Diceros bicornis minor: one gene and its partner. The protein of the gene in region 2 binds, or shares a complex with, the protein of the main gene of each other region. Links are inferred from orthologs where the notes say so. Each region holds a gene or a part of one and is shown on either strand. Other genes may lie near its edges.

Region 1 (6,037 bases), on a different chromosome or scaffold from region 2:
GTGGAGGAGGTGGCACACACAAGGTCCTCTGCCTGGCCCTGCAGGAATGGGTCAGGGCCCAGCACTCATCCTGGCCAGTTTGCACGGCTCAACTCGATGTCTTGATGCCGGACGGTATGGGAGGACTCTGGCACTTGATGTCAGAGACCTAAATTCCAATCATTGCTCCTCGCTCTATGACACAGGAAACCTCTCTGAGCTTCATTCAGTCTTCTCATCTATTAAATGAAGATTACCATAAAAACGCTTGCCTGAACTCACAAGGATGTGAGGACCCCTGAGACAAGATACCTGCAAAAACATTATAATCTGGGAAGTGGGTAAAGAGGCTTATTCTCCTCCTCCTCCTCATTATTATTATTACACTTTTTGTTCTCATAGCATCTCCATCACGCTCATGACCTGCCCTCAAGTATTCCTAAATAGTCTAATCTCTTTTGTCCATCCCAAAGTCCTCCTTATTTAAAGCCCTAGGATAATTCATCTCAGGTCTCCCCACTTACATAAGAAAGCAGGAAAGGGCTTCTGCATCAGGACTTTGGGATAAGTGCCTCCGGGCCAAGGCTTTGTAGCGCTGCCAGCGTCGGAAGTTCTCATAAACACCCTTGGAGGTATAGGAGAGGTCACCCAGCGAGGACTTGGATCGAGCAGCCGCAGGACCTCCTTCCCCGGATGCCCCAAGTGGCCCTGGCCAAGCCTTTTCCTGGGGCACAATGGGGGCCAGTTGGGCAGCTGTTGGTGGAGCCTGAGCAGGAAGGCCTAGGAGGCCCTCCTGGCTCACCCCAACAGGCTTACTGGGCAAAAGGGTCCTCACGTTAGAGGCTGTCATGAATTGAGGGGGAAGACCCTCGGGGCCCCCACAGGCAGCATCTGAGGCAATCCAATTGAGGGCGGTCTGAGCAACGATAAAGTTCTGAGTTTGAGAGGGCTCAGCTGGTGCCTCTTCTGTCTTGACTTTGACAATGACTTTGCCAGCTCCAACCCCACTGGGTCCAGGGCCCCCATCCCCTGTCAGCAACAATGGGCTGGGGAAAGCAGAAAGCACCAGAGGGTTGCCTGGAGAGAAAGCTGAAGGCATGGGGGGCTGTGGAGGTGGCTCCCAAGGTGGTTGGTCTGGTGGGCCAGCAGCTGGTGGGGGAAAGGGAAGTGCAGTGAAAGGAGACCGGGTGGCGCCAGGTTTCATGGTCACATCCGGTCCCGGCAACGGAGATGCTGGTGAGACAAAGAAAAAGAGGGCATGGAGTAGGAGAAAAGGAGACCAGAAGTCAGATCATCAGAGTTCCACTTTAGTCCCTGAAGAATCAGAGTTCCGATTCTCAACAGGTGAGGGAGGAGATATGGAGAGAGAACTTGTATAGTTTGCAATGTCCCCCAAGTGATCTTGATGTCCCTTACTCCCAGTTAAGAATTATTGCACTAGAGAAGCTGCAATAATTCTTGGACCTATGAGCTCATGCCCCATAACTCATTGCACCCAGCATACAGGTACACCTTTATTCCCATCCATTCCCAACACATTCAAACCACCTGAACCCTACTCCCAGCTGCTCTGTGGTCCCTGCCACCACTCACAGAAGTGTTGTTCCCAGAAGAGGATGTGTGGATTAGATGTTTGGTTCCCAGCACTTCTGTTATATAACAGCCAGGAATGACTGGAGATAAGGGTCAGGAAATGAGCAAGGGCAGGGTGGTGTGGGGAGGGAGGTTTCCAGAGCTTCAAGTAGCTGCTGGACATGTTAAAATTTGGCAATGCAGACTATCTGTGATCCTTCTGCTTGAAGTTCCTAACATCAGAAATTTAGGGCCCACTATGAACAAGGCACTGATAAGGAAGTCCAAAACACAGTACTTGCTGAGGAGGAGCTAAGCGGACTCCAGTCAAAGAGACGAAAGATAAATACACAAAACGTGTACTTAATTAATCAGGACATGTGTCTCCTAGGACTTTTAACAATAACAATAGAAGATCATCTGTCTAATTTCATGCTACTCTCCTCCCCTCTTATAAAGAATATCCCACTGGCAAACTAACAACACTCAGTTTCCGTTTCCAGACCATGAAGGAGACACGGAATATGAGCAAACTCGTCATCTCAACCACAGAGCAGAGGGCCAGGAGTACTCCACCAAGTACGGAACACAAAGAAATGGGTTTGAATGCCTGAGCTCCACAAAAGGTAGAAAAGCTGAGAGCATCTCAGGGAAGCCCCAGCTCTTGTACTGGCTGGAGTGACCCACCTCCCCTGGCCCTGGCGGAGGAATCAAGGAAAACTGCTCCCTGAACTGAGAGAGAAGCCATCTCTGGGGCTGGAAGGAGCCATGAGGCTCTGAGCAGAGGCGCTTATAGTACCTTCCAGTCTAGCTTTCGGGAGGACATTTCTCTACAGACTTGGCAACAGATAACCCCACTGAACAGTTTTCCAGCTAAGGCCTCCACCCCCCACCCCCTCAGTAAGATCCAGAATGGCCCCAGCTCAATTCTCTCAGGGCAAAATTCTAGAGCACCCTCCGGTTGCCTAAAGAAGACACAGGAACTCGAGGCTTCCCCTTGAACCTTCTCTGGGCCCCACACATACTCCTGCCCCTGCCACACAAGCATATGTTAAAAGGGTCCCTCTTCCAGAGAAGCAAGTTGTTAACTGCCATTCCTTCTCTATCATCAGCACTTTCCTCTGAGGTGCTTTGATCTGTCTCCCAGGAGGCCTTCTTCCTTCCCCAACCCCCAGTCTTAATGGCACAACCTCCTTCCCCAGCCTCCCCCAGTGAGAGGCCTTTGGTGAGGTCTCTAGTGATCTCGCATCCCTCTAGATCAGCCCAAAGAGCCTGTCCCCAAGTAAAGCATCAAATTTTAATCCTGAAGGATGTGAGCAGGTGGCAGGGACCCTCCCGCCCACCTGCAGACTTACTTCCATCTGAAGCCATCCTCTCAGGTTTGGGCGCTAACCGTGGCTGTCTGGAAGCCTCCAGAATGAGACAGTCAGGTTCAGGACCCAGAGAGTAATCTGGCTCCAGTAGAGGCACAGGGATCCAAGGAAGGGAGGGTAAAGATCAGATTAAAACAGAACTAGAATCTAGGACTCAAGGCATTCTGCAGTGGGGGAGGGGACAGCAGAATATGGGGTGGGGGGAGGGAGATACTCCACAAAGGGTTCTAGTAAGCAGTAACAAGGAATTCCCTCCAAACCAGAGTATGGCAACACAATTGTTGTGTACCTCTTTAGGGATATTTGTATATTCGTTCTCAGATTCCCAACATTATAGTTTTACATCTCAGTACCCTATACAACTCTTCACCAATATATCTAGTTCTGTGCCCTTCAATCCCATCCAGTTCTGTACCTGATTTCCCATTAATAGCAGGTTGTGGCAGACCCTTGACTTAATTCAATGTTGGCTATATTTTCTGAACCAAATTCAGAGCACATAGTCTGGTGTACTTAAGGATCAAGGGAATAGAATGTCTGAAATTAGGGTTGTCTCATAAGACCCAGGGTGTTCAATTGCTGTATGCATATCATTTCCTTGGAAAGCTGTCCTGCAGTGCCCCAACAGTCCACTTCCATCAGCTCTGCAGTCCACAGAAGGCTCAGCCTTACCCCTGGCTGAAAAGCCCCACTCTATCAAAAACTGCCATTCAGCCTAAAATTTCAAGACCAAAAAGTCCTTCCTTTTGTTTGTTAAATTATTTTGTTTTAAAATTTTGTTAAATAATTTTAATTTTTTAAATGGGTAATACATCAGCATGGTTCAAAAGTCAAACTATGCAAAATGGAATATACAGCAAGTCTCCCTCCCACTCCTTTCCTCTGGGACGGAGTTCTTTATCCCAGAGGAAACCAATATTATGTTTCTTGTGAATCCTTGCAGAGATATTTTATGCAACTACAAGTGAATACAAACTATATTCTTTAAAAAAAATAAAGTCTTTCAGTTTTTCTGGTTATAAAATTAATACATGCTCCAATGTTTTTGCTATTATACATAATACTGCAACGATCATCTTTGTAATGATATCTGGGCTCCAATTTTCGTTTTTCAAACTAGAGTCCTATAAGGAGAATTTCTACGTTCTTTTAAAAATTGGAAATACCCTTCGGAGGTACATCTTATTATGCTATTATTAGCTACTCACCACCATAAGAGCGCTGAATTTGTGGTAAAGAGACCTGAGTTTGAATCTTGGTTCGACCTCTAAAACATACTTCACCAGTTTCATAAAATAACTTCACGCTCTCCTCGCTGTACAGAATATTGAATACCCATCATGCACTCTTTACCGCCAATACTTTGAAATAGGGCGCGGGGATCGGATGTAAAAGAGAGGAGGGAAGAAAACCTTCTTCTTTCTTCCCTAAGGTAAAGGGGCTCTGGATCCTGGAGCTATTGTTTCTCCAGACACTAGAAACACACTGCCCCTGAAATGGGTGTGCATCTTGAAATAAAGACAGGATTCTATTCATCAATGTTCAACTCATATCCATCCTTACCCCCCTCTAACGCCTAGCAGCCTAGCAGTGTCGGGCACACAGGGGGCACACTCCACGCGTCTCTGAACGCCTGCAAGGTTGCAACTGGGCGCCAACGCCAGCAAAGTTGCAACTGGGTTGCAACTGGGCCAACTCTTGCACTAGGGCTCCCCCTTTTGGCCAGCTGGAGAAAGGCCTAAGTGGACTACATTTCCCGGCATGCCTAGAAAGAGACTTCCGGCTATGCAGGAAGGAAATTGACAAACACGTGAGGCGGTCTGTTGGACGGAGCTGCGCACGGAGTTGGAAGTTCTGGCTGTAGTCTGATCATGTTCCTCCAGTATTATCTCAACGAGCAGGGAGACCGGGTCTATACGCTTAAGGTGAGTAGAGGAAACAGGTTGTGAATGGGTATGGCGAGAAATGTAGGTGGGAGCAGCGGTTGAGACCAGGCACCGAGTTGCCTCCCTGGGTGAGGCGAACTAGAAAACCCAGAAGCCAGGCGTGGTAGAAGCGGGAGTGTATGACCCCTTCGTCTGTCCGTCACGTCTTCTGTCCTGTTTACCTTTTTTTGCGCGGCCCCCTCCCCATCCCAGCCTCCATCTCCCTTTAGACGCCGGTGCTTGAGTTTTCCCATCACTCCTGTACTGATGTTCTCTGTTTCTTGAGCAGAAGCTTGACCCTGTGGGACAACAGACCTGCTCGGCCCATCCTGCTCGGTTCTCCCCAGACGACAAATACTCTCGACACCGAATCACCATCAAGAAACGCTTCAAGGTGCTCATGACCCAGCAACCGCGCCCTGTCCTCTGAGAGTCCCTTAAATTTCGTGTGTCTTCTGCCGCCTGCTACCCCTCAAGAGACTTTCCGAAACCACGCTCTTCAATCTGTGAGCCTTGAGGCCTTCTGACCACCCTTGCTCTGTGGAATCCGGTCTCATCATTGCTTTTGATCATGCTTGTGTGAGGCAATCATGGTAGCATCTCCCTTAAAGGGAACAAGTTTGAATCTTCTTTTCATGTTTTCAGTCACTGCCAAGTTATTAAAATGATTTGAAGGAGCTCTTGTTTTGTATGTTGTGGGAAGAAAGAAGTGGTTTAAAAACAAAGACAAAAACGAAGGAGCTGAGAGGGAAGAGTACTCCCAAAGGTACAGCAAGTTCACTTGGAAGAAAAACTTGAGTCGCTGCTGCAGCAGGAGTCCTGCTGTGCTGTTAGTGATAGGAGGGTGTTGAGGAAGGGGAAGAAAGGTTGAGAAAGACGCGTCCACAACTGTCAGCATTCTCTGAAAAATACCCCTGTTGTCACTTAAATAATTTCTTGCCCCTTGAAATGACATTGACTCAAAATGGAAGAGTTGCTTGAAAAATAATAGCTATTTTGTAGAGGGAAGGCAGTGAATTGGAAGTCAGGAGACCAGGATTCTCCCCTCTTTGTATAACTTTGAGAAAGTCACTTAACCTGTTCAGTCTCATTTTTCTCATCATTTCTAAGTTCTCTTCCAACTCTAAAATTGATAGGGTTCAGTGGTGGATCTTAATATATCTACAGTGTTTGTGCAGCCGTTGTGAA
Region 2 (7,216 bases):
CTGCCTCCATCACTTCTCTGAAAGTGCTCTTGACAAGTCACTAATGTCTTCTTAGGTCATTCTCTAAATTTGCCTCACTCTCAACAGCGTTGGACATGACTCTGTCTCCACTTTCGTAATTTCTCCTGCACCCCACCTCCACATGCTGGGGCGCTCAGGGCTCTGCTTGAGCCTTCTCCTTCTCCATCTATACTTGACATTGAATCCGTTCTCAAAGCATAAGATACCATCTACACGCTCTCCCACTTCTCAAAGTATATCCCCAGGGCCGGCCCCGTGGCTTAGCGGTTAAGTGCGCGCGCTCCACTGCTGGTGGCCCGGGTTCGGATCCCGGGCGCGCACCGACATACCGCTTGTCTGGCCATGCTGAGGCTGCGTCCCACATACAGCAACTAGAAGGATGTGCAGCTATGACATACAACTATCTACTGGGGCTTTGGGGAAAAAATAAATAAATAAAAGTATATCCCCAGCCCCAATTTCTCCTCTTAGATTTACATTTCACATTTAATGTACCTAAAAACTCTTGACTCCCAACCCAATACCTCTTCATATCCCTGTTTCCTCCTTCGAGTAAACTGTACCATAATCCACCTAGCTGCAAAAGCCGGGACATCACTCTTGATTGCTTCCTTCCCTGCACCCCCACATCCAATTGACCTCCAAGTCCTACATAACATACTTCAAATCCATCCACTTCTCTCCATCTCGCCCGACACCACCCTACCATCATTTCTCGCCTGGACTGTGATAAACGCATCCTAATGAGTCTCCCTGATTTCACTCTTGCCCACCCACAATCCATTCTCTAAACTTCAGCCATCATTTCACTCTCCTGTTTTAAAACTCTCCCATGGCTTCCCAAATAAACTCCAAATGCCCTACCCACAAGACCCAAAACGACATGGCTGCTAGCCACCTCTCCATCCTCACCACGCTTCCCCTTCACTGGCATTCTTTCTGTTCACTGAATACACAAAGCTCTTTCTCAGCTCTGGGTCTGTAATATCATTGCCTCTTCCTGGAATGCTCCTTCCACAGTTCTTCACTTGACTGATCTCATCATCCTTCAGGTCTCAGCTCAAATGTCTCCTTTTCAGAGAGCCTCTCCCTGACCATTTTATATAAAGTGGTATCCTCTAGTTAGTCTCTCTTCATTCTATTTCCTTCATAGCATTTATTATAATCTGTCATGAACTTGATTATCTATTGGTTTACATGTTTGTTGTCTAACTCACACACAAGAAAGCAAATCAGCTCTTCATCTGTCTCCTTCACCACTTTATCCCAGCACCAAACACAGTGATTGACACACTGGTATTCAATCAATAAATATCTGTAAGCCAATTAAACACTGCCATGAGAAATCCACTATTCTTTTATGGGAAACACATATTCCTGACTAAAGAAAGGACAAACATCTGTTTAAATGACTTCAGAATTCAGGGTTGAAAACACTACCTGTGAAAATTCATGGTGAAGAAATGTCCTGTTTGTGAACAGAAAACATGTGGACTGTACTTTCTCCATCTACAGGAAGGACTTAAATGTGCAGTGTCTGATGAAGGAGCAGAGTTAGCCCCTACCCTTACCATTTCTGCATATTCCAGCTGCTCCCCCTCATTGTACAGCTCTGGGGGCAGGTTATAAATCCGCAGGATGTTATCAGCACTATTGGTCAAGATGCAGGAACCATCAGGGGCCCTAGGAGTAGGGAAGAGTAAGAAAGCTGGACAGATCTATATTTTCCAAGTGTAGGGCTAGGGCTGAGCCTACCTCTGGGGTAGGTAAGGCCCCCAAAACCTTGGAGGAAGTAGAAGACACACAATCCTAGATGAAATTTAAGCTCAGTCCAAGAGGGATACTTACTCCTTCTCCCACCTCTGGTGGATACTTCTCCCAACTAACTGGAGTGTTCTAAGGTGAAAATCCTGGGCATGGTTATCTCTCTGCCCCATTATCCTTACTTACCACTTACACCCTTTCAAGAAGTTCTCAGATTGGGTGCTGAACTCTGACCAGGAACCACTGAGAAACCGAGGTAGCTGGGAGAAGCTGTAGTTCCAAGCGCTGGAAGGAAGATGGGGGGACAACAAACCTGGGTCGCCAAAGGAAAAAGGAAATGGGTCTGGAGAAGTGGGGCTGAGGACTGGCGGATAAGGTATATCTCATACGTCCACACATCTCACACTTCAATCTCCTCAGATTCCTGAGGCAACTGCCACCACCACTTACGTGTATCCCTCCTCCTCTGGAGCTGGGTCCTCAGACACACCTTCCACGGCTTCTCCAGGCCCCGACTCTGGCCTGTTAGTTTCTTCTGCAGGAAGGTTCACATTTTCAGAAAGTTCTTGCTCCTCGATTCGAGGGCTCAACTCACTAGGAGTACCAAACCCTATTTCCAGGGGAGTGAAGAGGGAAGCTCGGTCCCCCTCCCTCAGCTCCTGGGACACAGCTGAGCCAGCCGCGGGATCTGGGGACACCTGGGGGGGATCATCCCCATCGGGTGGCGGTAGCATCCGTTCAGGGTCCGTATTTTTATCCACCGCGGAAGGCTTAGGAGAGAGATGGGCTGGAGCTGGGGCCTGGTCTGAAAGAAGGCAGTCCGGACCTAAGAGTGGCGCCTCCGGCGTCTTCATTCTGCAGAGGAAGCGCGGCAGACATTGGCCTCGGCCAGGCAACCCTCCTCCCGCTGGCTACCAGCTGCCTGGCCCGCGGAGCAGCCGAGACAGCTCCAAAGTTCGCACGGATCCTGGAGAAAAACCCACCTGTGCCTTCCTTCTTCTTCCGGGAGGGGGCAGAAGACCCCCGGAAGGCAAGGCGAAGAAGTGGACACCAACGTTAAAAGCACGGCATCCCTCAGCCCCGTCGGTCGCTACGCGCCACTTGCTCTCGCGGGATTTGGGCCCACCTCTCGATTGGACCTCCGCATCCCGGATCAGATTTCGCGGGCGACCCACGGGAGGGGCGGGGCAGGGACGCAACAGGTCCCGGTTTACCGTTCCCATCAAGCCCCGGGGCTCTTAGAGGCTGCTGGGAGTTGTAGTCTGAAAGCTTCTGCCTCCGAGAGAAGCGTCTGAGCTCCCCCTGTCTTCTTCCCGCGGTCATGCTAAAAACACCTACTTCTTACTCCCCAACCTGCAGAGGGCGCCGGCGTTGTATTTGATTTTACAGGTTTCTGAACCTCTTTGGCATCTCATTCGCCAAATTCCTCAGACCTCTGTCTTTTCATTCATTCAATAAATATTTATTATTGAGCTCTTACTTGCTACCCAGTATGAACTGAGTACTGGGAAATACAACAATGAATAAAATAGTAGACAAAGTCCCTGCCCTCCTAAGGCTTATGTTGCTGTGTATTGAAGGCAAGGAACAAATCTTTTCAGAAAGTGATAAAAGCTGTGAAGGAAATTAAACAAGATAGCGTGATATATAGTATCTGGAGGAATACGTTAGATTGGGATATTAAGGAAGGCCTTCCAAAAAGGTAAGATATTAGCTGATGAGAAGAAACTATCCAGCTATCTGGGAAAGGAGTGTTCCAGGCAGAAGGAACAGCAAGTGCAGAGGCTTTCTTCCTTCCACCTTCATATCTGACACAGTGGCAGGAGTCTTCCAAAACGGTTTCCACCAATTCTGCCCTCACGGCTCTGGCTTGCCGAACTTCCCCACCCCAAAATGTCAATAGCTACAGCACCAACACCGCGAGAATCCTAACTTTCTCCGTGCCCTCCTCTCCGACTCTGCATTCCTATAGCCTCCGCCCGAAGGCGAATTGCTTGCCCTTACTTGTCATGGCGACTGTCCAGCTTTGTGCCAGAAGCCTCGCGGGGCTTGCTGGGATTGGGATTTTCCCCTCCCATGTGCTCCGACTGGCGCTAAAAGTTTTGAGCTTCTCAAAAGTCCAGAGCCACCATCCTGGGTGCAGGTAGCCGCCAGGCTCCGGAGTCACCTGGCGTCCGGCCTCGGGGCGTGCTTTCCAGGACGGTGACACGCTCCCGTGAGGTTCGGGTAAGCTCGTGACTGAGCCTGATGAGTCCTCTCTGAGTCACGGGCTCTCGGCTCCGTGTATTTTCAGCTCGGGAGAATCGTGGGGGTTGGGGGTGGGGCACTGGGGACTTAGCGATTTTGGGGGGATGGAAGTTTGGCGGCACCAACATAGGAATGCAATGTTGGGAGGCCTGGGTGTAGATGATGGGGATATTAGGAATTCAATTGTCAGTTGAAATCAAAGCTGAACACCTGGGCGGGGAGTGGGACTTTGGGGGAAACTTGAGCCGGCCTACGGGATTCTTCCCCACCCCCCCTCCATCCCAGTGCCGGGTGTGGGGAATCCTGAAATAAGACGCACAGAGCATGAGGGTCTCAGACTTTCGGATCTCGGAACTTTGGGAATTCATGGTTCGAGATTTTAGAGCCCATGGCATGCTGGTGGAACCTCGGGCTTCATTCCGAAATGATTATTCGGGGTGATCTGGGAAGCCCAAGCTGCTAAGGTCCCGTAACTTCCGGACCTTTGTCCTTCCTGGAATGGTCTCTGCAACCGGTCCTCGGCTCCGCTAGATGGAGAAAATCCAGTTAAAGCCTGTCAGTCGTGCAAGTGGGAAGTGCTAAACGAGAGATTTGCCCGCGAAACCAGGGAGGACTATCCCGGTCTCAGAGGCCCGAGAGCCCTGTTATTGTTTGGCTCTACATTTACATTTCTGCCCTTTGCAGGAGCATTTCCGGTTTCTTTTTTGGGGGCAGCTTACTATTCACCCGATGAGAGGGGAGCAGAGAGACAGAAAATGTCTTTTAGACTGATTCCTATTACTTGCGGAGGGAGGCTGCTAACTCCCTCCTCTACCTCTTTTTTCTTTCTTCCTGGAGTACTTAGTTACCGCTTTGGGAAAGGAAGATATATTTGTTTTGATGCAAACCTCAGTCCCTCCCCCGTTTGAATGGTGTGCTCCACCCTGGTCGACTGCAACCTCGGCGGACGCTACCATTGCGTGGGATGGGTTTTTTTTTTTTTAAAGGGTGCAGAGGGAAACCCCTGGGTATTTTTTTTTTAAAGGGCACATTTGAGAATTAAATGATGAAGGAGTGTAACGACAGGTCGTTTGTGGCGGAGAAACACTTTCTCTTGTTTCCGGCTTTGGGCTAAGCCATTCCACTTTCGGACGCAGACTGAACGTCGTGACAGCGGAAGGGGCGGGTCTTGGCGAGGGGCGGGCCCCGCAGACCTGAGTATCGCTCTCCGGTCCCGGCTAGTTCTTTCCTATGGCAGGGTGCGGAACCTCCGCGAAATCCAACGCGAATCCCTTTCTCCTGCATCTTCATCGCTTGGGTCGCGGTCGTTTCATTCAGCAGCCACTTAGCACGCACCTGCTACGCACCAGACACTGTGCGCGGTACTTCTGTGCTTATCTTTTGTCTAAATTGAGGTAGCATTTATACCCACTGCAGTTAGACGAGTTTTGGCAGCTAACCACCGTGTAACGCCTATCAAAATATAGAACATTTTCATCACCCCAGAAAAGTTTCTCATGCTTCTGTCCGGTCTGTCTTTGACCCCCACCTCTATTTTGATTTCTTTTGCCTGTTGGAGAACTTGTAAATGAAATCGTACAGTATGTGCTCCTTTGTGTCAGGCTTTTTCCTTGAGCATAATGTCTGTGAAATTCATCCATGTTATTGCATGTTATTAGTGGTGTATCAGTATTTTGCTTTTTTTTAAATTTAGTATATTCCATTAGATGAATAAACCATCGCTTGTTTATCCATTCTCCTTTTGATGGCCATTTGAGTTGTTGCCCGTTATTTTGAATAAAGCTGCTATTAACATTTTGTACAATTCTTTTTGTGGTCATATGTTTTCATGTTTCTCAGATAAATACTTGGGAGTGGAATTGCTAGGTCAAAGAGCAGAGAGTAGATCTATATATTTTTTTAACTTTATAAAAAAATTCAAGGGGCCTGCCGGGTGGCGTAGTGGTTATGTTGGCGCACTCTGCTTTGGCCGCCCTGGGTTCCCAGGTTCGGAACCAGGGTGCAGACATATGCAGGGCTCATCAAGCCATGTTGTGGTGGCGTCGCACATACAAAATAGAGGAAGATGGGCACAGATGTTAGCACATGGCCAATCTTCCTCACCAAAAAAAAATCAAGTTTTTTAAGGTGGTTGTACCATTTTACACTCCCACTAGCAAGCTGTAACCTTCCTCACCTTTGGTTTGTCGGTCTTTCTAATGTTACATGCCTTTGTGGTTTAAATTTGCTGTTCTCTGTTAATTATGTTCAACAGTTTTCATTGTGCTTATTGGCCATTCCTATGTCATGTTTGAAGTGGCTCTTCAAGTCTTTTCCCCATATTTTAAATTGGTTTATTTGCTTTTTTTTTTATTGTTGAGTTGTAGGAGTATATAGTCTGGATACACATATCTTTTGTCAGATACACGTCTTTTCTCCTGACCTGTTGCTTGCCTTTTTGCTTAACAGTATCTTAAGAGGAGCAGAAAATTCTTTTTTCTTTCAAGTGTTTGCTGTAACCTGTTTAGGAAATCTAACCCCAAGTTCATGAAGATACTCTCGTATATTTTCTTAGAATCTTTATAGTTTTAGGTTTTATACTTAGGTCTATGAGCCATAATTAATTAATTAATTAAAAAAATTTTTTTTCATGATATGAGCCAGAGGTCTAGGTTTTGTGTTGTTGCTGTTGTTTCTTATATGGATTCCATCCAGTCGTTCTAGCTCCACTTGTTGAAATAGCCTTCCTTTCCCCCACTGAATTTAATTGGAGTGCTTGGTCCATTTACATTTAATGCAATTATTATAAGGTTTGAGTTTAAATCTGCTATTTTAGTGCTATTTTCTATCTGTCTCCTTTGTTCTTTGCTCTTCTCTTCAAACATTTGAGGAAGAAATAATATCACTGTTACACAAACTCTTTCAGAATATAGAGGCAGTAACATTGCCCCCTCATTTTACGAGGCCAGCATAATCCTGATACCAAAACCAGACAAGGACATTACAAGGAAAGAAAATTGAGCTCAATATTCATGTTAGCATATATATGCAAAAATCTGGCAAATTTTAGCACATCAAACCTGGTATATATAAAAATGAGAAATAAATCCTGACCAAATGGAGTTTATCCCTGGATTGCAATGTTGATTTAACATTCAAAACTCAGTGTAATTTGCCACATTAACAGATTAAAGGATAAAAATCC

The links. The genes of interacting proteins can lie anywhere in the genome.
Region 1: WRAP53 (region 2) and NOP10 share a complex: the UniProt entries of both Homo sapiens proteins name them as parts of the telomerase holoenzyme complex. The link is inferred for Diceros bicornis minor from reciprocal best matches to the Homo sapiens genes WRAP53 and NOP10.

What each region holds. Positions count from the first base shown.
Region 1 is NC_080744.1:31,624,799-31,630,835, forward strand, and holds NOP10 (H/ACA ribonucleoprotein complex subunit 3), read left to right. Parts: upstream 1-4,733; 5' UTR 4,734-4,795; coding exon 4,796-4,849; intron 4,850-5,138; coding exon 5,139-5,279; 3' UTR 5,280-5,526; downstream 5,527-6,037. Other genes in the region: NUTM1 (NUT family member 1), read right to left, coding at 504-1,212, 2,907-3,002, 4,260-4,263. UniProt on the Homo sapiens protein: Required for ribosome biogenesis and telomere maintenance. Part of the H/ACA small nucleolar ribonucleoprotein (H/ACA snoRNP) complex, which catalyzes pseudouridylation of rRNA.
Region 2 is NC_080757.1:10,678,902-10,686,117, forward strand, and holds the start of WRAP53 (telomerase Cajal body protein 1), read right to left. Parts: upstream 3,024-7,216; 5' UTR 3,009-3,023; coding exon 2,769-3,008; exon of another isoform or gene 2,640-2,768; coding exon of another isoform or gene 2,556-2,639; coding exon 2,236-2,555; intron 2,071-2,235; coding exon 1,972-2,070; intron 1,705-1,971; coding exon 1,593-1,704; intron 1-1,592. UniProt on the Homo sapiens protein: RNA chaperone that plays a key role in telomere maintenance and RNA localization to Cajal bodies. Specifically recognizes and binds the Cajal body box (CAB box) present in both small Cajal body RNAs (scaRNAs) and telomerase RNA template component (TERC).